Caenorhabditis elegans: one gene and its partner. The protein of the gene in region 2 interacts with the protein of the main gene of each other region in a pairwise test. Each region holds a gene or a part of one and is shown on either strand. Other genes may lie near its edges. The genes, in order: rpn-7 and rpn-3.

Region 1 (10,802 bases), on a different chromosome or scaffold from region 2:
ACAAAGATTATATTTCGAACAATAATTGTACAAGAATACATTTACTCGTAAACACATATTCACTATGAATCTCCTACTTCACATTTCCTCTCTATTACTACAGTTATGGCTTTGGTTTTTTGATAGATTCATAATGTATCCATTAATGAGAATAGTAGCACCAAAGTTAGGTGTTCGTTTCATGAATTTGGGCTACTGGCCATCATCAGCACCTCAGTACGCAAAAATGAGAATGTTCATGGAAGATCTAGGTGACCTAGATGAATACGGTAAAATGAAAACACTAATCGAGGTTTCCTTGTTAATTTAAATGTTCAGAGTCGGATCGAGCTCATATTTATCTCTATGAAAAAGCATTATCAATGCATCCAAATTATCCTTATTTTGAACAATTTGAAATTCTTGAAGTGAGCTGTGGTCAAGGGTACTCTCTCGATTGGATAGAAAAGTAAGTGTCTTGCATTTTTTTTAAAACGAGAAATATGGAACACAGGTGGCATGGACCAACAAAATGCATCATTGGCTGTGATAAAGTTGTCACTAGAAATATGAATAACATAGTCTACGGAGATGCACTAGATTTACCGTTTGCAGATAATTCGTTTGATTTTGGTAGGATCATATCAAAAAATACCAAAAACATCTTGAAATTAAGTTTTGAATGTGGAAGCAGCTCATCTTTACTCGGACTACAAACTATTTTTCAAAGAGGGCTCACGAGTTTTGCGATCGGGTGGTGCCTTCTGCTACATGGACATTCGATATCCCCATGAGGTTAGTCTACTTGTAAAATTTATATAAATACAGCTAGTGATTACAGGCAAAACAGATTCAGGAGACAGCCACAGCAGCCGGTTTTGTAAAGAAACATTTCGAGTTTTGCACTGATGAAGTAGTTGAGGGCTTAAAATATTCAGCGAGAAAATATGATAGGCTACTAGAGAAAGTAAACTAGGCCAAAAGTTAAAAAATTTGTATATAAATATTTTAGGCTCCTTTCTTCGTTAAATTCTTCAAAAACTCGCTGCGAGCAACGTACTGTGCTCCTGGAACATCAACTTATGAACGATTGAAAAATAAACAGCGGATCTACATCGCAGCGATGTGGATAAAGAAATAAAGAAATGAAGAAGTGAAGAAGTGAAGAAGTGGTATTAAATAACATGTAAAAACATTTTAAAGATAATAAAACAATTGGTATTTGACCAAGAAAGTGTGAATACAGTTTTAAAAATACAGCGATGGTAATAAATTAATTCATTCAACCGGAAATGATGAAGAAGTGGGGAGATTCAAAGCGAGTTAACGCAAAGAAATAATACGGGAGAAGAAGAATAGGGTAAAATAAAAGGATTTACACGTTTGAAGAACTGGGCTCGGTTATGCATTGATAACTCTGGCAAGCTTCTGAATGCGGTTGAGCAATATATCTCCATCCTTGATAACTGCCTTGTACAGATGATTCTTCGAGTCACGATGATTCACTTCAATCACTCCGTTAACAGCATCAATACGACATTGCAATTGCCCAGTCGCAATCAGACGGTGCAATTCGCGGTCGATGAAAGCACGGGAAACACCAAAATCCTTGGCCATCATATCGATACGTACAGTCTTGTAAGGAGTCAAAAATTGTTCGTAAGCGCGATGGCGCATTCCACGAGAGTAATAGTTGAAGTGTGGCGATAGATAGCGATCAAACTTGAACTGAAATATAACGATAAGTGAAAAATACAAGATTTGTTTTAGTAACTTACTCTCTCGCTTTCAAGAGCGGCCAACTGAATGAAGAAACGATCGTAGTGACAATCATAGTATGATTCGAGATACTCACGAACTGGAATCAATGTTCCATTGAGTCCCCCTCCGGTCAGCTGTTCTTGAACTTCATTGCAACGAATAACCTTGGTACGAAGGTCTGGTCTGTCCAAAGCAAAGGTTGTGGTGATGACAGTGTAGAGAATCAAGTTTTCATATGTCATGAGCTCGTATGATCCGAATGTTGGCACAGCTTCAAGGAACAAATCAGCGGCTCCAGCAAAATCACGAACAGACATTCGGTAAAGCGCTTCGTAGGATCGAAGGCGATTTTTGCGTTCCCAGTCTCCTCCTTGCTCCATAAGTTCTTTTGCTTTGGTGATAAACTTGTTGATGAGATGATGATCGAGGAAGAAAAGTCCAACACGAATCATGGCGAAAACTACATCAATACGATATCCCATACCGACTGTCTTCTCATAGGTGGCTGTGTACGCTTTCAGAGCGTTGTCTTTGTCACCGATCTGACAGTAGTACTCGAACTTGCGGAGTAATCCCTGACGCACTTCAGATTCGCCAAGGTTCTTCTCCGCGTCTTCAACTTCTGCGGTGATTTCATCGATCTTTTTCTGATTAGCTGCTTTCATTGCAGCCAATTGTGTTGCATCTACGACAATTTTGAAGTCAGCGCAGACAAGCTCGTAGAATGGCGCCATGTCGAATTCTTTGATAGTTTCCTGAAGCTTCTCGAGCTTGGCTTCTTTCACGCTGCTGTCTACTTCGGGATGATTGAGCATGAATCTGGTTTGTGATAACTCAAGATCAGGCCATCTTGAAATGATCTGAAAACTCTGAACTTGAATGATTTCAAAACTACTGATCCGTACCTCCTTATCGAAGTTTCCATCATCTACGGGTTTCTTCGTGCTCTTTTTGGCAGCCTCTGTCATCCTCCTTAAAATGAAATATGAACACTTGAAATTGTAGCAAACGTTAAAAAGCGGCCAAAACGGAAATAAAACTGTTCAATGGTATTTCAAACGTGAAATAGCATTTTAGTTAGTTTTCATTAAATTTGCTGTAATTATCGAAATATAGATTTGGTATTAATTTTAGTGTCTAGTTTGTTAGTTTTTGAAAATAAGCGTTGATATCTATTTTAAATTCGTAATAGTGCCTTATTTTACATTACAGTGAGCGGCACAGTGAAAACTACGTTAAAATATCTATTTCATAGTGCATAAACAGACAAAACCGTATCAAAATTCAAGAAAACTGGGGGAAAAATTCAAAATGGGACGAATAAAAGTGGGCGGGGATGATGACAAGGGTTTGCAATACGCGGCGCATGCTTTCGCAATTCCGCCGCACGGTTTTATTCATCCTTTCATTATCGAGCGCTCTCGTTATTAGCGTTTGAACGCAGGAAACGGAGCATTTGTTTCGCATTCAGTTTTCAACCGCCATCCCGTTGTATTGAGAAACATGGTTAAATTGCATTTAAAAACCACCTGCCGTGAAGTCCCGATCGAAGAGATAATTTCTACTGGACAGATCCAATTCTTCAAGCATTTATCAGAAAGTACTTCCGAATTCAAAGACCAAAAAAACGTTGAACGTTTCCGTAAGTTTATTTCTTCAATTATCGATCATATTTATTTCTTCAATTATCGAATCAATCACTTTTCAGGTTTGATTTATAACGGAAGAGCATTGAATGAAGAGAGCCTAAAAAAGATTACTGATGCTGATTCAATCAGAGTCGTGCTGCTTCCACCGCTTAAAACAAATGTCAGTTTTTTTCCGTTTGAAACCCAAATTAATTTTAAGATTTTCAGAACCACATCGAAGAAGAGCAAAAAAATCGAATCAGTATTGCTCTCAAGGAGTGTACCGCCCCATATACACGCCCAAATGATCGTCGGCTTCATGGTTTCAACCACGACTTTGCACTTCCAGATCACATGACAACGCTTCTTGAGAAACACCCACAGCTGGTTCATGATAATCAATTTTTATCTGTTCTGAGTGATTGGTCATTATTCCGTGCCTATTGCGTTCAGAACGATTTCAAAGATGATCCAATTCGGGGACAATTCATGTACACGAATCCCGATTTCTTGAAAGTAGTAGAAAATATTCTATCGACAGTAGGATCTCGTTACGGATACGAAAACCTTGATTATGCAAACGTGGAAAGAAATAGACCAGGAATGCTTGCAGCTCAGCGACCAATTGGAGGTGCTCAACCGGTTACTCATGCGTTGCTTCAAAATGTAAGATTTCTTGGACACACTGATTCTCATAATTCGAAAAGAATAATTGAAATATAATAATAGTTGAATACATATTTCTACTAAATTCTCCATGCCAATTTTTTCAGGCTCTCCAAGCAGCCCTGGCAAACATTGCAGTTCCTCCGGCAAATCGGGTTCCAGCTCCCGCCAATGTCCAGCCAGCGCAACAGCAGCAAGAAGAGCCAATGCAGCAAGGATATGAACAACAAGCTGCGACTCTCCGCGAGTTTGGATTTGAAAATGATGAGCTCATTCAGTTGGCTCTCGAACAGGCGAATGGAGATGTGCAAGCGGCTATGGAGTTTCTTATTGATCTCCAAAATTAATCTACACCAATGGTTTTATTCTGTCTTCTCATTAACTTTTTCTGTCTATAAGTGTTCATAATTCGTTTTTAATGCATTCAAATTGCCCTATTCATTCGTCAATAGGGCTAAAATAATCTCATATCTGTTTAAAATAAAGCAGTGAAATGAAATCACCGTTTATTCGTCTAAATCACTCTTCTACAAACTCTTCTCTGCTTATTTAGTGTCTCTGGGTCACTATAACATCGGATAACAACTTATTTCCCTGGGGTTGGGAATGGCAATATTCACTTCGCTTCTGATTCAAAAAAAAATACAAAATAGTCCAGTACATCGGCAAATACTCTTTTACTACGGACATATTTTTTACTACTTCTTATAGTGATTATTACAACGAGTTGAAAATGCATTTTTTATAGTATCATACATTCTAGAAATTAACAATTGTACTTATCAATTAAATAAAATTAGATAGGCCACAGTTTCAGTTTATGCTCGAGTAGTTCTAGCAAATCTGTGTTGCTTTCTTCTGACGGGATACTGAGTTGGAGTTGGCGGAGTGATACTGCTGGGTTACTGTAGTGGTACTGTAGGCGCAATTAATATTTTTTCGCAGAATCAACAAATTTGTTCCATACCTATTGTTTTTTTTGAAAATAAAAAAACATTTCCTGGTCCGTTCGGTAAAAATTTACCGTATTTCCTCTATCAGTTTTGCACCCATTCATCTGTTCCCTATGCGATTCAAATTTCGCATTATAAACACATTCTACAAATTAGGAAAACTCTTACAGACTTGGTATATAAAGTCAGAATTGGTTAGTTATGATTACAACTCGGCCAATTTTTGGCTAGCATTCGTAAAATTCGTTCTTTTGGCCCAATTTTTGCTAATTTGCTAATTTTTGTGTTATAACAAAAAGTTTGCTCTTTTATTGATTAAAGTGGTAATAAGACAATTTCTTCCAATTATCAAACTGTAAAGCCGACATTGGACAATTCTCCGAATATTCACATGTATGTTTAACATGTTTCAGGATTCAATTTGAACATTTTCCATTTATGAATTTGCAGAAGAGGATCGTAACCCATCACGAAGAATCTAGAAGCCCAATCTTTGGTAGTATTGGCTCTTCACATCATACGTTTAATTAAACGAATCAATGAATAATTCGATTTACAATTTTTATTTTCAATCTATGTACATAACCAAATAGATCATTTTTTAAACTTATATAAAAAATCTAGAAATCTTTGAAATCATAAAACCATGGTTATGTTCTTGGTTATTCAGTTCAACGAGTCAACTTATTCAGTTAAGTCAGTTATTCAGTTCAACGAGTCAACGAGTTAAATACCAATTGCAACCAGAAAACAATCTGAGAATCCAAAAACCCTGCAATTAGAATTTTGTTTTCTTCTAATTGTTTGAAGTTTTCACGTACACAAATCAAAAAGATCAAGCATGATTATTAAAGTTTTTGGAGAGCAGGTTATTTTAAATTATCCAAGATTTACCGTTTTTATTTACTTTTGAGATTAAATTATAGACTAAATGCCAACTAAAAAATCTTAATATGATCATTTGAACAATATAAAATCACGAATCAAAGTTTAATAAAATAGTTTCCTTGGTTTGAATGATTTTCCTAATTCACCTGTTTTTTAAAACTTCAATTATCACGAATTTCTTTTAAATTTTTTTTTGTTTTTGCTATTTTCCTCCTTTTTTAGTTTCTGACATGGTTGGATTGAAATAAAAAGAGATTTCAAGCGTTTCAAAAGTTCATTGGCTTTAAACTTCTTGATAATAATACATTTTTATTCAAATTTTGTCTCTAATGGGGTTATTCAAGTAATGTAGCAAAATGTATTAAAATACATTTGTGACGTCACAAATGTATTTAAATACATGTTTTTATATACTTGAATAAGGTTGTGACGTAATTTTTCTACACTTTTTAATTTTCCGACACTACTTGAATAACCCCATAAGGACTTTTTCTTCACTGTGTTCGGTTTTGAAGTTATTAAAATATATTTTAAAGTCAATCACAAAGATGGGACTTTGCCAATCTACAGTGGACGTTTCCCCAGCAAAATCGAATTCCGAAGAAAATGTGGAAAAAGAGTAAGATTTTTAGTTTTTCTATGTTATCAATTTAAACATACTCCCAGAAAATTTGTTTGGGAATTTAAATGGAACAAAGAGCATGTACGAATTTCAGCGAATTTATAAGTTTGCTATTTACCAGTTAGTAATTTTAAAGAATTTTTCGATCCTATATTGAATTAAAAAGTCAAATAATTTTTGAAAGGACTCCAAATATGTACCGAATTACAAATATAACTGCGAAGAAGTTCCAAACAACTTTCCTGATTTTATTTTTGAAAAATGTATTTGCCTTGTAAATTTTATCAATGTCGAATCTTGTTTTCTTTTGCAAATTTTCTTATTTATTTTGGTTTTACAAAACAAATGTACCAAAATATATTTGGCGCTCAATTAAGTGAAGTTGTTAGGAATCAAAGACAAATTTAGTTTTTTTTTGTTGGTATTTCTCAAATTCACTACTCACCTGATAATTCAGCAACTACCAGATAATACTTACTATTACATATATACATTTTCGTTATAACTTTTGTTTCTTTTTACAAATAGCAAAACAAGTCTGACTCATCGTTACTTCTCGAACTTTTACTTTTTTAGTTCTCAATAATTTGTGCAAGAGCACAGATATCTGCGTCTCTTATCATAAAGTTTCATATATCTAAATAAGAAAATCTAGCACAAAGCATAGTTCAAAGCAGAATTTCTTATATTTAGATTTATCATATCATTTTATCAAGATATTAGTGTATTGAAAGTTCACCTGTCCATCGAAATTGTTTATGTTTCGAGATTGTTTATGGGAGTTTAAAACGAGGTACGTGTTGAAGTTGAAAGATTTCAAAGTATATTGTTGATTTTTGGCAGTTGTTAGAAACATGAGAAAGAGTATTGAACTTTTGGAAAAAGTAAATATATATTTGGATACAAATAGTTGAAAGAAGTTGAAAGCAATTCAGTTTACTTTGTTTTCACTTCGAGAGAAGACTTTGTTCTAATTTTCAAGCGATTTTCGAGGCATTTTTATCTTTCTAAGAAAATAAGTAAACTCCCACAGTTTCAGATGCATGAAAACATTTTCAAAATTGGAGAAAAAATTTCGGATTTTTTGATTCCTTGGGAAAATTACAGCTTTAAACAACTAATCTTTATTTTTGAAAATGTTATTTTATGCAAAATTTTGTTTCAATTAGAAAAAAATATTGCTCAATTGCCATGAAAAATCTTAAAATCCACAGAAAAAATTAATTGGTGGATTAATTTTTCGATGTTCGAGGAACGTTTCCATACCAATAACCAAAGGTCACAACATATAATTTCCAAAAACTGAACAAAAAATTATCGAATACTGATAAAAGTTGATAAAACACCAACATTTTCTAGTCAAGCTACACACTTTTTGCTCCTTTTTTCATTTTCTCATCACGTTTCCGCCTTTTTTCCAACAATTTGACAATTGTGTTATGTGTTTCTTATCACAAATCTAAATGATCTTTACTAGCATTTATATGTATACAACAATTTTTTCATGGAAAACCCATAAACCGGATAAAAAACTCCCGGTTACGGGGAGTTTTTTGTTTGCTCCAGGAGGAACTTGATAAGAAATTTGAGAAGTATCATGTGGCTAGACAAATGGTATAAAATGAATTGGTAGATAAACTATGACACATTTTTCGAAATCGTGTGCTCATATTGTACTAAAATTTAAAATTTTCAGAAGAAAAGCAATATCAGAGATGCTTAAAACCGCAGAGCTGGCAGATGGACTCCTAGGAACCACTCTTCAATGGGAAGATGTACAGAAAATTGCAGAAGAGAGTGCGGGACATAACCTGAAAATAGGAGAGAAGAAGACAATCAAACCTTTGGCAGAGGGAGTTGTAAGTTTTTTCTGGTGGAAAATCGGAATAAGGAAAAATTTCAAAACTCAGGGGCTTCAATCTCTGTTAGGTATCGCTGAAATTGATTGGGAAGTCGAAGGAGATGACAAGGCTCCATATCCAAACAAATTTGCGTTGAAGATTGGATCACCTGTGGCATTGCTTCGTAAGTCTAATCATATACCTTAAAATTCTCCGTTTGATTGAAAAACTTGATGTCTGAAATTAGGGGGAATTTGATTTCATTTGAATGTATCTAAATTCAACTGATGAGACACGTCTCTTTTGTACTGAATTTCAATTTGCGTAGCTTGTTTTAGAAACCCTTAAATACTATAAGTTTTTTTTACAGAAGCTCTAGAAGCACAAGCTGCAAAGTTACCCCCAGATGTGGCAGCAAACATTTCGGATGAGTTTATAAGTTTTTTACCTCCGGTATGTTTTTTAAAATGTATTTTTCCAACTAATCACTGTTATTTTCCAGTGCCATAATTCTGAAAACTACTTCTACAAATACATTCAAAGTCTTCCAAAACTTGACATTCTTCCTGATTTCTACTTTGGAAATCAGATCGAATTAGAAAAAGATGGGAATTATTCGAAAGGATGTATTGCAATCGAACTTGTTGAAGATATCAAAACTCTTTCTCCATTGGAAAATTTCAGTGATGATCAGATGCTTCAGGTTCTAGATGCCCTCGCCAAACTTCAAGTTCAATTTATAAATTTATCCGAAGATAAGAGAAGAGAGGCCCCACATCAAGGATTATCAGGACTTTATTCTCCGTTTAAAGATTGGTTCCTCCAGTTGAATAACGGGCTAATGGCTCTCTTCCCCGACCCAGAAATGCAAAAATTGACTGAAACCTTTGCAACAACTCTTCCTGAAATAATAACAGCTGATGAATTGGATTTAGTTCCATGCAAACTTGGAATGAAGAAGGTATTTGTGCATGGTGATTTATGGTCAGCAAATATTATGTGGAATCAAGAAGGACATTTGAAGAAGTTGATCGATTTTCAGGTATGTTAAGAACATATTTTTACGATCATTACTGCAATAAGATGTTCAGTGACAAAAAAGTTGAGAGGGGTTGGTATCCGCGTTACATGTAAACTTCCAGATGATTCATTTTGGTTTGGCTGCAACTGATTTGGCACGTGTGATGAATACTTGTTTAAGTCCAGAAGAACGTCATGCTAATAAGGAAAAGTATCTTAAACATTACTTTGACTGTCTTACAAAACATTGCAAAGAAGATGATCATCCAGTGCCCTTTGATTTAGAGCAGGTAAGAAATTTTCATCAATGATCGTAGTCCATTAAACATTTTTGGTATCCATTTTCGGTTTTTATTCAATTGATAATATTTAAGAGAAATTAAAATCTATGTTTTTATATAAAAAGTGAGATGATAAGCAAATATTATAGATGGGTTGAAATCGTAATTGGAATTTTTCAGCTAACAACCACCTACAACTTGGCATATCCTCGAGTCTCAGCCTACCTGCTCCCTGCTCTGACAGCAGTTCTAGAAGTAAATATTATTTTAACCATACGGAATCAATCAATCAGTTTTCAGAAAGTTGTCTCAATGCCAAACATTCCTGCAAAACCAATGGTTATTGGTTCATTTATTTCGAAGGTCAAAGGAATTTATTCGGATATTATCGCAACCCATGAAAGTCGTCCGGAAATCTAAAACTGGGTGTATATAATCTTTTAAATGTTTTGAACTCTGAAATTATATTCAATATTCTATAATCCTTTCCACACTTTTTCGCTACTCCTTTCGCCACAATCATCATCGTTTTCCAAATTCTGTACGTCCTATTATTCAAATTTCCTGAAATTTAGTATAAAACATGTAATTCCTCTCGCGTTGATGTTCCCTCAAACCTATTCTCTTTCATTTTTACCAACAAAACATGGAAAAAGATACAACTCTTGGAATCGTGTGTGCTGTTGTTTCTGCAATCACATTCGGTTCCACTTATGTTCCATTGAAATGGTTTCATAAAGGAGATGGGTTGTATTTCCAATGGGTTCAGTCACTTGGACAGCTTTTGGTTGGAGTTGCTGTTGCAATGACAACAGCTCCAGCACCAATTCACCCTATTGCGATGTTGAGTGGGATGTTCTATTCAGTCGGTAAGAATGATTCTTTCTATATTTTAAAAATAGTCATTAATTCTCATGGTTGATATATTGAGACTAGTTCCAACAAGAATATCAAATTTTTTTTTCAATTCTTTGAAGCTGATAGAGAAAATATACCAATTTTTTTTGTTTCAAACGAAAAACAGATAATATACATGCATATGTAAGCACATACCAAACTTTCTGATAATAAGCATTCATTGAAAACAAGGAACAAATTAAATGCAGTTTCATAATTTGACAAAAAATTGAATATAAAATTCTGTTCACAGCAAAAAAAGCAAT
Region 2 (10,802 bases):
TTCCTTTCCGAAAAGATCCTTGACAATCTCTCTGATCATCGGAATTCTTGAAGATCCTCCGACAATTTCGATCTCGTCAATTTCTTCCGGCTTGATAGACACTCCGTCTGCGAACAAGTTAATGAGAACCTGCTTGATACGGTTGAAAATTGGAGCTGCAAGATCCTCAAATTCTTGACGTTGCATCTTTCCAGTAACATCCTTATCCTCCATAAAGCATTCAATGTTCAGTGGAATTGGAGTTTGATTTGCTGACATTTGCTTCTTCACACGCTCACATTCGTCCAAGAGACGTAGCCATGGACGAGGAGATGTTGCGGCATCAATTCCTGCAATAACTTCAATTATCAATTTACTTTCATTGGGCCTTACCGTATTTTGTCTTGAACTCTTTTCTGAAGTGCTCTCGAATAAGAGCATCGAACCAAATACCACCAGACTCCAAATCGTATGATGTGTTAACCATCTGAAGTTTTCCACGATTGAAAGCAACCAATGAAGCCTGTGTTGACGAATGACCGATATCAAGGAACACGACGTTGCGCGATTTGGCATCTTCCTCTGGGAGATCTTGCTTGTAGATTCCGTAGGCTAGAGCAATTGCAGTTGTTTCATTGACGATGCGAAGAGAGTTCAATCCGGCATATTGAATAGCTGAGAGAACAGCGCGTCGTTGAACATCAGTGAAGTAGGACGGGACCTAAAATTAAAACGATTGTCTAACAATTTCTCAAGTCTAAATTGTTCGATAAAATTATAGTTAAAATAAATTGATATTATTCAGAAATATTAAACAAACACTTACAGCAAGAACGCAATCTGAAACTTTCTTCACGTCAGAAAGTTGAGATTCCACAATAGTACGAAGCTTCGTGAGAAGGGCAGCAAGAACTTGTTCTGGGGTGAAAGTGTGAGGTTCGCCAAGATAACTGACTTGAACTCCGATGTCATCATTTGGAAGTTTAACCACTTTACACGGGATGAATGGAATGAATCTTTGCGCAACAGGATCACTGAATTTTCGTCCAATCAAATGCTTGAAGTTAATAACAGTGTTCTTGATGTTCGTGGTCACTGCTTGCCGAGCTGCAACCCCCATTGATCGATCTTTTGGTCCAAAAGATACGCAAGCTCTGGAGAAATAAATATTTAGATTTCATGTTATGAAATACTACACTTACGGAGTGGCATGCAGAGAATAGTCATTGGTGATAACTTCAATGCCTCCTTGACGTGCAACGCCAATGTAGCAGTTGAGGTTACCGATGTCGAATCCAAGAACCGACATTATTCTTTATAGCAGGAGCGCTGAAATTAAAGATAAAAGTTTAGACAGTTTAGACCAGCTAAAAACGGACAAAATGGGTTGAAGAAGCTTTGAAAGTATATTTATACAAAAACCAAATATTTTTCTAGAAATTTCGAGCAAATAAAAAAAAAGTGAGCAAGAAAACAAAGGTGAAACAGCGAAAAACGACCGAAAAGGGCGTGTCTCAGGCTGACTCCCTTATAATGGTGTTTAAAGGCACACCGAATATTCGAGAAACGTCTAGTACATCGTTGCGAGACCCATGTAAAATTCTCTACAGAGCAGACTTGCATTATTTTTTATTTTTCAAAATCATCATTTTTCAAACATCGTTTTTCATTTTATTAACGTTCTGTTGTGTTTGTTTTTATTTATTTATTTTATTTTACGTGAAAAAAAGCTCAAATTCTAGTGACACTCGTTTTATTTTCAAATTTTAAAGGGAAATGGCTCCGAAAACTGGAGAAACCGTCGTTGAAAAAATGGAGGTAGATGAAGCTAAGCAAGATGTCCCAGCCACCGAGCCAGCAAAAGATCTCAACGCAATTGCAGTTGAAAGTAAGTGAAATACAGAAATACTAAAGTTTTGATTGCCTTCTTTTCTAGATATCAAAGAACAATTAGCTGCTCTCGACAAAGGAGAAGAACATTTGATCACTCGCGTGTTGCAAGTATTGCCGAAAACTCGCAAGCAGATCAATGACAACGTTCTTTACAAACTCGTGTCTTCACATTTAAGCAGTGATGCTCAGTTCGCCGAAGGAATGTTGAAGTATTTGCATTACACACCCGCCGCTGATACTGAAGTTCAGCCAATGGATACTTCGAATGTCAAAACAAAGTCTCCAAAAAAAGGCGTCAAACCAGTGTTTGCATCTCCCGAATCAGATTGCTACTTGCGTCTTCTCGTTTTGCTTCATCTTTATGCTCAAAAAAAGAATACCGAAGCTCTTGCTCTCGGCGAGAATCAACTCACATCAAGTAAAAAACATATTTTAACCCAAACAAAACGTATAATTTTCAGTTTACAACTTTGATCGGCGTACACTGGATGGACTCGCAGCAAAAACCCTTTATTTCCTCTGTGTGATCTACGAACGAGAAGGACGTCTTTTCGATCACCAGGGATTCTTGAACTCTCGACTCCGTACTGCAACTCTCCGTAATTTCTCCGAGTCACAAGCCGTTCTGATTTGCTGGCTTCTTCGCTGCTACTTGATCAACCGTCAATATCAATCAGCTGCTCATCTTGTCTCCAAAGTTGCATTCCCAGACAATGCATCTAACAATGATCTTGCCCGCTACATGTACTATCAAGGACGTATAAAGGCTCTTCAACTCGATTACAATTCGGCGGCTGGATATTTCTTGCAAGCTCAGCGAAAAGCTCCACAAGAAGGTGCCATTGGCTTCAAACAAGCTGTTCAGAAGTGGGTTGTTGTCATTGGTCTTCTACAAGGAGAGATTCCTGATCGAAGTGTGTTCCGTCAACCAATTTATCGCAAATGTCTTGCTCACTACCTGGATCTCAGTCGAGGCGTTCGCGATGGAGATGTTGCTCGTTTTAATCATAATTTGGAGCAATTCAAAACACAGTTTGAAGCTGATGATACTCTCACATTGATTGTTCGTCTGCGTCAAAACGTCATCAAGACTGCAATCAAGCAAATTTCTTTGGCGTATTCCCGAATTTATATCAAGGATATTGCCAAGAAGTTGTATATTACTAACGAGACAGAGACTGAATACATTGTAAGTAATTTATATTGACAGTTTTATGTTTATTATAATTGTTGCAGGTGGCGAAGGCTATTGCCGATGGAGCAATCGATGCTGTTATCACTTCTGATGTTCGTGATGGACCTCGGTACATGCAAAGTTCAGAAACAGCTGATATTTATCGTACTTCGGAGCCACAAGCTCACTTCGATACTCGTATCCGTTACTGCCTCGAATTGCACAATCAAGCTGTCAAAGCTCTCAGATATCCACCAAAGAAGAAGATCGCTGTTGAAACTATTGAGCAAGCTCGTGAACGCGAGCAGCAAGAGTTGGAATTCGCCAAAGAGCTGGCTGACGAAGATGATGACGATTTTTAAACCGATCACTCACTTTTTTAATTTATTCTGAACAATGCATTGGAACGTGTCTGTCTCCGTAAATAATTTTGTGTGTATTTTATTTGAATTTTCTCGTCTCTTTTCAAATCGAGATCCCTGTCCACTTTTTTCCCACACCCGAATGAATTTTATAAGGATGAATTGCATATTTCACCAAGTCTTTTTAAAATATATTTTGTTTAAAATTGGTATTTTTCACCGATTTTATTTCTGAATTAAGTAGTGTTAAAAGAGAAAGATCGTCTAAAAAATAATCTTCAATTCTATCGTGATAGAAATCCATGAGTTTTCGAATAAATACTGTATTGCAACATCTAAATATACGATTCTATTAAATTTTACAAAAATAATGTAATTTGTCTAAACACTTGCTTTACGATGTCCGCAAACACTACCTGCACACGAACTGCGTCAGAAATTACGAGCACGATTTTCTTAATTCTTTTAGTTCAGAAACTTTCTTGAAATCATTTTAGTTATATTTATGTTTATTCAATATATTTTGTATTACCAAAAGTAAAAAAAGGAAACACTGAAAATCCCATTAATATTTAAACTCTATTTTTCTCTGAAACTAACTGGAATTCAATTTTGGAATTTATTAGTTTTAGTCAATTGCTCTCTGATATTTAATTTTTTTTTCATTTAAAAAACATAATTTATTTAACTACGAGATCGATTATAGCGCTGCTTTTCTTCCTCTTTGAAGTTTAAAATTATTTTCAGAATGAATGAGGCTCGAGCAAGGATCATAATAAACCTGCGGCTGTCGATGGACTCGCTGATGCGAGTTTTCAGTCACCGATCACCACCTCCTTCATTTGGATTTGCTTGCGATGTCGGTGCACATCCATCATCAACTGCACAAAACTTGCCAATGACATATGGAAGTGTTCGCGAAATGATTGACGATTTTAGTATTGTTTTTGGAGTTCCAAAGTATAGAACTAGCAAACGTACGTTTATATGTTATGTAAAAAAACTGATTTTCAAAATTTATTTTTTAGCAAAGAAAGTAACTCGCAAGTTCTCATTCACACGCCTTCTTCAACCGATTGATAATCTTGTGACATGTCCAGCGTGCTCGAATATTCATCCATCGGACACTATTTGTGATGCCTGCTACGCCAAAGTTCATCAATTGACTTCGGAAATAAAAAAAAAAATGATGCAGTACAATCCATATGTTGGAGAGAAACAGGATAAAGAAGTATGTTGGTCCAAAATAAATTAGTTTTCCAATAAAATGCTTTCAGGTATATGTGAAATTCAGAGGAGAACCAGATGCACCGGCAGCAGTTGTTAAAGGAAAGCGAGTTCTCGAAATTGAAAAAGAACGACCGACTTGGTTCAAGAAGTTGACACTAAAAGAATGATTTTCCTCTATTTTTATAGGTTTTTATAGATTTGTTCGTTTTCCTTGTTTTTGTTCATTCATCATTTTTTTTTTTATTGGAGTCATAAATAGAAAAACCTCTTACCATTTTCTAATTGTATTTCTATTTTCCATTTATGTTTCAGGTGGAAATCAAAACCATTGCGTGTTGTAAGTGTGAAACAGCTGAATCGATATTCTCTCCGGTTACCCTTGTTTCCAAAAGTGTGTCACTTGTTGACATTCCGCTTTTCTAATGTGCTCTTGTCACGATCACTCTGCTCGAGCACATGAAGTAGGAGAACTGCATGTGTGTTTGCGTGATTTTTAGAGGAATCCATTACTTCGGTTTAGATGTTTGATATTGGGTTACAATGGTGAGTAAGGGATTCCACATATGTTGTACTTTTGTATGCAAGCAAAATGGAATTCTGAAACGATGCAAAATTCAACAATATTTTGTTCATTAGTTTATTCAATTTTTAGACAAAAATGTGGGAAAAAAGTTAAAAATATAAAGGTTTATAGAGTATCCAAGACGTGTCATAAAGCGCAAAATTTTGTGACTTTTTCGTCAAAACCCGGTCTCAACACGACAATTTATCGTTAAATACAAACGGGTGTGCGCCTTTAACGAGTACTGTACAGTACTCTTTGAAGGCGCACACCTGTTTGTATTTAACAAAACAATCATCGTGTTGAGACCAGGTACCGTAGTTTTGCCGAAAAAAACCAATTTTCTAAAAGTCCTTATAAACAGTTTGTTTTCTGGAAGCCATGGAAACTCGACTAAGGTGGCAGCAGCAGGCAGCAATACTTTTAAAATTTGATTCCCAAAATTTCATTGAATTCTAGAGATGTTCAACTTTTTCTCTCTTCTATTTCGATCTGTTCGCTTCTTACCGCACATTGAGACTGATAGTTGAATTGCGTGACAAGAGTATTTCGATCTCCTATCTCTGCGTCTCACCTCCTACAACACTGTCTCGAGACTAATGATGAATGCATTTTGTACCAGTCGGTCGATCCTCCATCCTTCCTATTCAACTTGTAAAGTTGTGTTGTTGAGATATGGATTAAAAGAAAAGAAAAAAGAAATACCATGAATTTTCGGATGAGTTCGTATTTTTAGAGAGTAGTCGGCAAAAGAATGAATTGGGTTACTGTAAGAAGTAGGGGGACAAAAGTTAACAAGGGCAAGTAAACATTAAAAATATCTGACTTTACCTGAAAAAGGTAAACCAAGTGGCTAAAATAATACGAAATTTACAGAACAATGGGAAGTGACGCGCTACAGTACCTCTCTTAAAGGCGCACACTTATTCACGGGCGAGTTATCTGTAAATTTTTCAGTCGTGGCGAGACCCGGTACTGTGGCTTCGATATCTGGAAATTTTGGGTTTTTTGACTGTGCAAAAGATATAACATTTTTATTTTACTTTTTAAATCAGTTTATCGAACGTTCACTGTAAAGGCGTAGGCTACGTGGAAGGCAGTCACGCAGGTAGGATCTTTGTGCTTTTTTGAAAGTCGAACTATAAAACAATATCTTCTGATTGAAGTGCACAACATCAGTTCAAGAAGTCCCGTCCATCTTCATTAGTTGTCTAAAAGTCATGGATATACCCCGTCTCATCGTCAGAGCCAATGTGACTATGAATATTGGGTTTCACCACCATCACAAATCCAAAAGACTCACTACCACATTTTAGGGGCTTCTTCTTCTTCTTTTGCCTATCTCAGTTTACTTTACTCTCAAATAGTAGAAGAGAAGCCTCTTCCTTCCTTTTCTAATGAGTGAGCCTCCACCGAGAATGAGAAGAAGGATGAGAGGTTGAGGATTATCCGACAAAACCATATTTGGACTTAATATTAGACAAACTAATGGGTACCGTAGTCTCGAATTGGTTGAAGGACAAGGTAATTGATCTAGTTGCTTTGAAAAATTAAAAAAAAAAAGACCATCTTCATGATTTTAGCTGAAACTGTTAAAAATTGTATTACCTTGTGTACACTGGTCGAAGCGGATCTCTTTGTTAGGGAAGCCTTCAGGAGCACATGTCTGACCATGCCTACCTACCTACCGCCTACTTTCTGATATTTTTCCTGTGCTCCATTGTTTTCATTGTCTTGTTTCACTGTTTTTTTTTTGAAAATTCACCAATAGAACTTTCGCATGTAAGTTGGCAGAACGCTGAAGACAAGGCCAGGCCTTCTTGCAGTCGTGTAGGCGTTTCCGAGATTTCATGGAATGGCAATGGGGAGCATACCGATCAGCAATTTTTAATATACCAATAAATCAATAAACATTTTCTCGTTTTTTTCAGACTTTTCAACCGACGTCTCCTTTTCATAACCAGTTTCAGAGCCGTTTCGAAAAGTCGATCAAAAATTAATCTAACTCGTTTAATTTAAGCTCAGTGTAAGATCAAAACACTTGAAACTTTCAGCTTTTTCAGATATTTTTCTTGACTTCTCGACCTTCTGTCTAATCGAAATTCTTGAACAACTTCTACCCGGCCACGCCTCCCTTCTTCCAGTGGCTGAGCTCTGAGTATTGAGAGTAACCCAAGAAGCCCCACCCCTTTCATGGAGCAACAACCCAAAGCTCTTCGACGGGCTTCAACATTTCGTTGAGACCTTATTGTCTTTTTCCCAATTCTTTTAAACTTTCTCTTCAAAACTCTCGACCTCTTGTCTCATCACTCATAACGAGGCAAGAAGAATAAAAAGAAAAAAGAATACGTCCGGCGGCGGGCCCTCTTTCTTCACTATTCATGTGCTCACCCGTAGGTAACCCAGGTGATCGGCTCGGAGCAACAATGAGGCTTCTTTTCGAGTGAGCACCACAGTGTGAGAAGAGAGCAGATGGATGAGCATCATTCGTCTAAAAAGTGTGTCCGTCCTTTTCGAGACAAGAAACATTTGATTTATTTTCATGAGTTTTTTGAGTTTCGCCAAACTTCCTTTTTTAAATATTGTTTTCCTTTGCTAGGTAACCTTGGGATGTCGTCTTAGTGTACAAATTTTGTAGAAGTTCATATTCCCGTCCGCCTGCCTGCCTACCTTCATGTTCTGGTTTTTTGAAAATTGGTCTTGTTAAATTTGTAGGTTACTTTTTACAATAACTCCCAAGTATCGTAATAAATCAGTTGGTCCAGAAGAGAGCTTTCATTGTGAACATACAATTCTGCAGGCTACGACGCTCGGCTCAATCCTACATGCCTGCCTCTCTTTCATAAAAAGTGTAGATCATTTCTAATTTTTTCAAGAGCTGGTTTCCCTTGCTCACACAGTTTTAAAATTGAAATGAGCAAGATCTTTAGAACTATATTTGGAAAATCAATAGATGAGCTTTTATAATTATCATCTTGAGTTAGAAATCTAAGTGTACCAAACAAATTAACCAATAAGGCGTTGATGTGTAGTCTGAAAGATAAAAATGATATAAATTATTCTGAGCAGTGTGTTATTTTTGCTCACCTCTCTTGGATGATTCAGCAAGATTCGTATTTGTTCAGTAGTGAGATATAGAATAGAGTACTTTATATAGACAAATTGAAATAGAACAACATTTCTTTGCAAATCAGACAGTGCTGCGCATTTTGGGGGGATTCGGCATCACCCACAATGATGTAAAAGGGGAAAGATCTACTCAAAAAATGAGTTTGCCTTGATTATCAAAAACGTTTGCTAAATTAACTTCCCCATAAAAAAATAATTATTAAAAAATCTTAAAAAGACCCTATCATCAGCTTTTAAATGAAACTTGGTACGTCCTTGAACCCAATCTCCAGGCACTGCATTCATTATTCGCATCGTTTCACCCATCCGAAAACATATGTTTCTGATGCTCACTTGTGTGCTCACAAGAGAAAAGTTCGAAGTACAGTAGTTCCGACGCTATGGCTTCATTTGTCTCGTTCACCAGGAGGTTATTTCTAAATACCTAAAAACGGCTTCTTCTCCTCCTCTGCTTCTTCTAAGTAAGGCTTCACAAGGTGGGCTCAATGAGCACATTTTCACTCCCTCTCATATTTCTAAAAAAAAGAAGGGGATGAACAATTAACGGATGAATCAAGTGTGCCTGTCTTTAGAGAATGCACTTGTTATCACCTCATTTTTTCGGAAAAAAAGAGGTTCGTCAGTCTCAAGAGGGTTTGTTTACCCGATTGGAATGACCAGAAAGAAGGAGAGAATGCACTTCATTTATGTTCGCTTTTGGTTTCTAGACATGAAATTTGGATGAAAAAAAATCCACAATTTTAAGTTAACCAGAAAGTGTATGGAAATTTTTAACTAGGAAAAATTTTCAATTTAAAAAAAGTTCTAGATTCATTTTTGAATAATCTAGAAGAAGACACTGCCTAAAAAAAATGAATTGTTTGCTAAAACGTTTGACTGAAAACATAGCTCCCTAACTATTCTTCATGGCCTGTCTTCAACCTAAACTTTATTATTTTTTCAATTGCTCGAAATTTTGGAGTTTTCTAAAAATTCAGAAAAGTGCACAAATTTTGAGACCTGAGAAATGAAAGTTAGAGAAAATTTTTAAAACCAAATCCAGCAGTTCGAGAATTCATAACATCTTGAAGAAATATATCAAAAATGTTATTATTTATATAGGCCTTAAAATGTCTGTCTCGAGGAGCAACCACGCCTATATTTAATTCCAGACTTTTCCCCATTTATGAACCTTTAATCCTTCACAACCTAAAATACAGTCACCTAGTACCTACCACCGTTTTCTCTCCTTTCATTCGCTCCTCCTTCCGTTTCACCCTAATCCGTCCATAATTTTGTTCCCTTTTTGCCTACAATGACCTCTTCCTTTTTCTTCTTTTTCATGATCGTCGCCATCATCGTTCTTTAATCCGCCTATCCCCTTTCCGAACCTAGAACCCTTTTTGACTTTTCTGGACACTTCTGACTTCTTCTTACTCTTATTCTACTTCTTTTCCTTATCCTCGTCCCGTATTCTCATTTCCTCCATTCGGTTTTTTTAGATATTAGTTTGACCCTCATCGTGTCATCTTTAGCAAATTAGTTCCCAGGAGAGAAGTTGCGAATAGTTTGATTTTATTCAATTCCGGTAATCGTTAATTTGAATGGCCTAAAGTTTTCTGGCTCAACAATTTGTATTTCAAAGTATGATTGAGAGCATAAAGATTTTTAAGCACTTTCGCGCAACGTGTGCGCTGAAAATTTGGAAAATCTTTTTTTTTTTCGATACATGACGAGCCAAACGGCAAATTATTCATTCTTGGTTAGTTCTGCAAGTCATTAAACCTCAGAACTTGGCTGATATTAGTTTTATAGAATAAAATAACGTTTAATTTTTGTAAAGTTTAAAAAATATTTTCTCTTGAAAATCTTCCAGCTATTGCAAATATCATCTCAGCGTTCCTAAACTTGTAGCTGAATCTGTTCCTCAACTCAAACTGTTATTTTCCAAACTCCCTCAACTTTTTTTTCATTTAATGCATATATCTATCTGGTGCACCCAATGCTTCCAACTTTTTTCTTCTCCATCCAAACCAACTCTCAACCGATTCAATTAAAATCACAATTTGTGATTTTCCGCTTTTCTCTTTTCACCACAAAAAAGTTGACACAATTCGAAAGTTAGAGCTCCAATCCTACAGAAAACTTTTTTCCTCGTTTTTCTCCACCAAAACATTGGTACCGCCCGTCTTGTAGTCGTCGCGTACACGGAGGCAATTAAAAAATTGGATTTGTTCTTTTTCTTCTCCTCTCTTTCTAATATTGACTCACAATTTTATTTTCCGTTCGATCAAATTTAGGGGCAAAAGTTGGATACGATGAGGTTCTGCTCAGTTGTTTTTACTTTTTGTGGCAGTTTTTACAATTGCGAAAAATAAAGATTGCCAAAGTTTAACAAATTTCACTAATGTTCTAAGATTTTGTTTAAAGTTGTACCTCGAAGGATCTAGAAAAAAAGCCCCCAAAATATTCAAAAAAATTTCAAAGTGTTTTG

The links.
Region 1: the proteins of rpn-3 (region 2) and rpn-7 interact in a two-hybrid assay, tested with the Caenorhabditis elegans proteins (2 studies listed by BioGRID).

Annotation. Positions count from the first base shown.
Region 1 is NC_003282.8:9,308,549-9,319,350, reverse strand, and holds rpn-7 (26S proteasome non-ATPase regulatory subunit 6), read right to left. Parts: upstream 2,713-10,802; 5' UTR 2,709-2,712; coding exon 2,646-2,708; intron 2,601-2,645; coding exon 1,758-2,600; intron 1,708-1,757; coding exon 1,381-1,707; 3' UTR 1,121-1,380; coding exon of another isoform or gene 992-1,120; 3' UTR 947-991; coding exon of another isoform or gene 821-946; 3' UTR 775-820; downstream 1-774. Other genes in the region: nemt-1 (Methyltransferase type 11 domain-containing protein), read left to right, coding at 65-269, 319-448, 494-612, 656-774, 821-946, 992-1,120; F49C12.9 (UBA domain-containing protein), read left to right, coding at 3,244-3,382, 3,449-3,549, 3,597-4,034, 4,142-4,381; F49C12.7 (CHK kinase-like domain-containing protein), read left to right, coding at 6,424-6,494, 8,194-8,356, 8,408-8,522, 8,709-8,791, 8,841-9,380, 9,481-9,648, 9,820-9,894, 9,944-10,075; F49C12.6 (Transmembrane protein 144), read left to right, coding at 10,286-10,508. UniProt on the Caenorhabditis elegans protein: Acts as a regulatory subunit of the 26S proteasome which is involved in the ATP-dependent degradation of ubiquitinated proteins.
Region 2 is NC_003281.10:8,445,602-8,456,403, forward strand, and holds rpn-3 (26S proteasome non-ATPase regulatory subunit 3), read left to right. Parts: upstream 1-1,751; 5' UTR 1,752-1,755; coding exon 1,756-1,867; intron 1,868-1,915; coding exon 1,916-2,290; intron 2,291-2,333; coding exon 2,334-3,061; intron 3,062-3,108; coding exon 3,109-3,408; 3' UTR 3,409-3,745; downstream 3,746-10,802. Other genes in the region: hsp-110 (Heat shock protein 110), read right to left, coding at 1-329, 373-700, 806-1,133, 1,182-1,288; mrpl-32 (Large ribosomal subunit protein bL32m), read left to right, coding at 4,157-4,385, 4,437-4,639, 4,686-4,805. UniProt on the Caenorhabditis elegans protein: Acts as a regulatory subunit of the 26 proteasome which is involved in the ATP-dependent degradation of ubiquitinated proteins.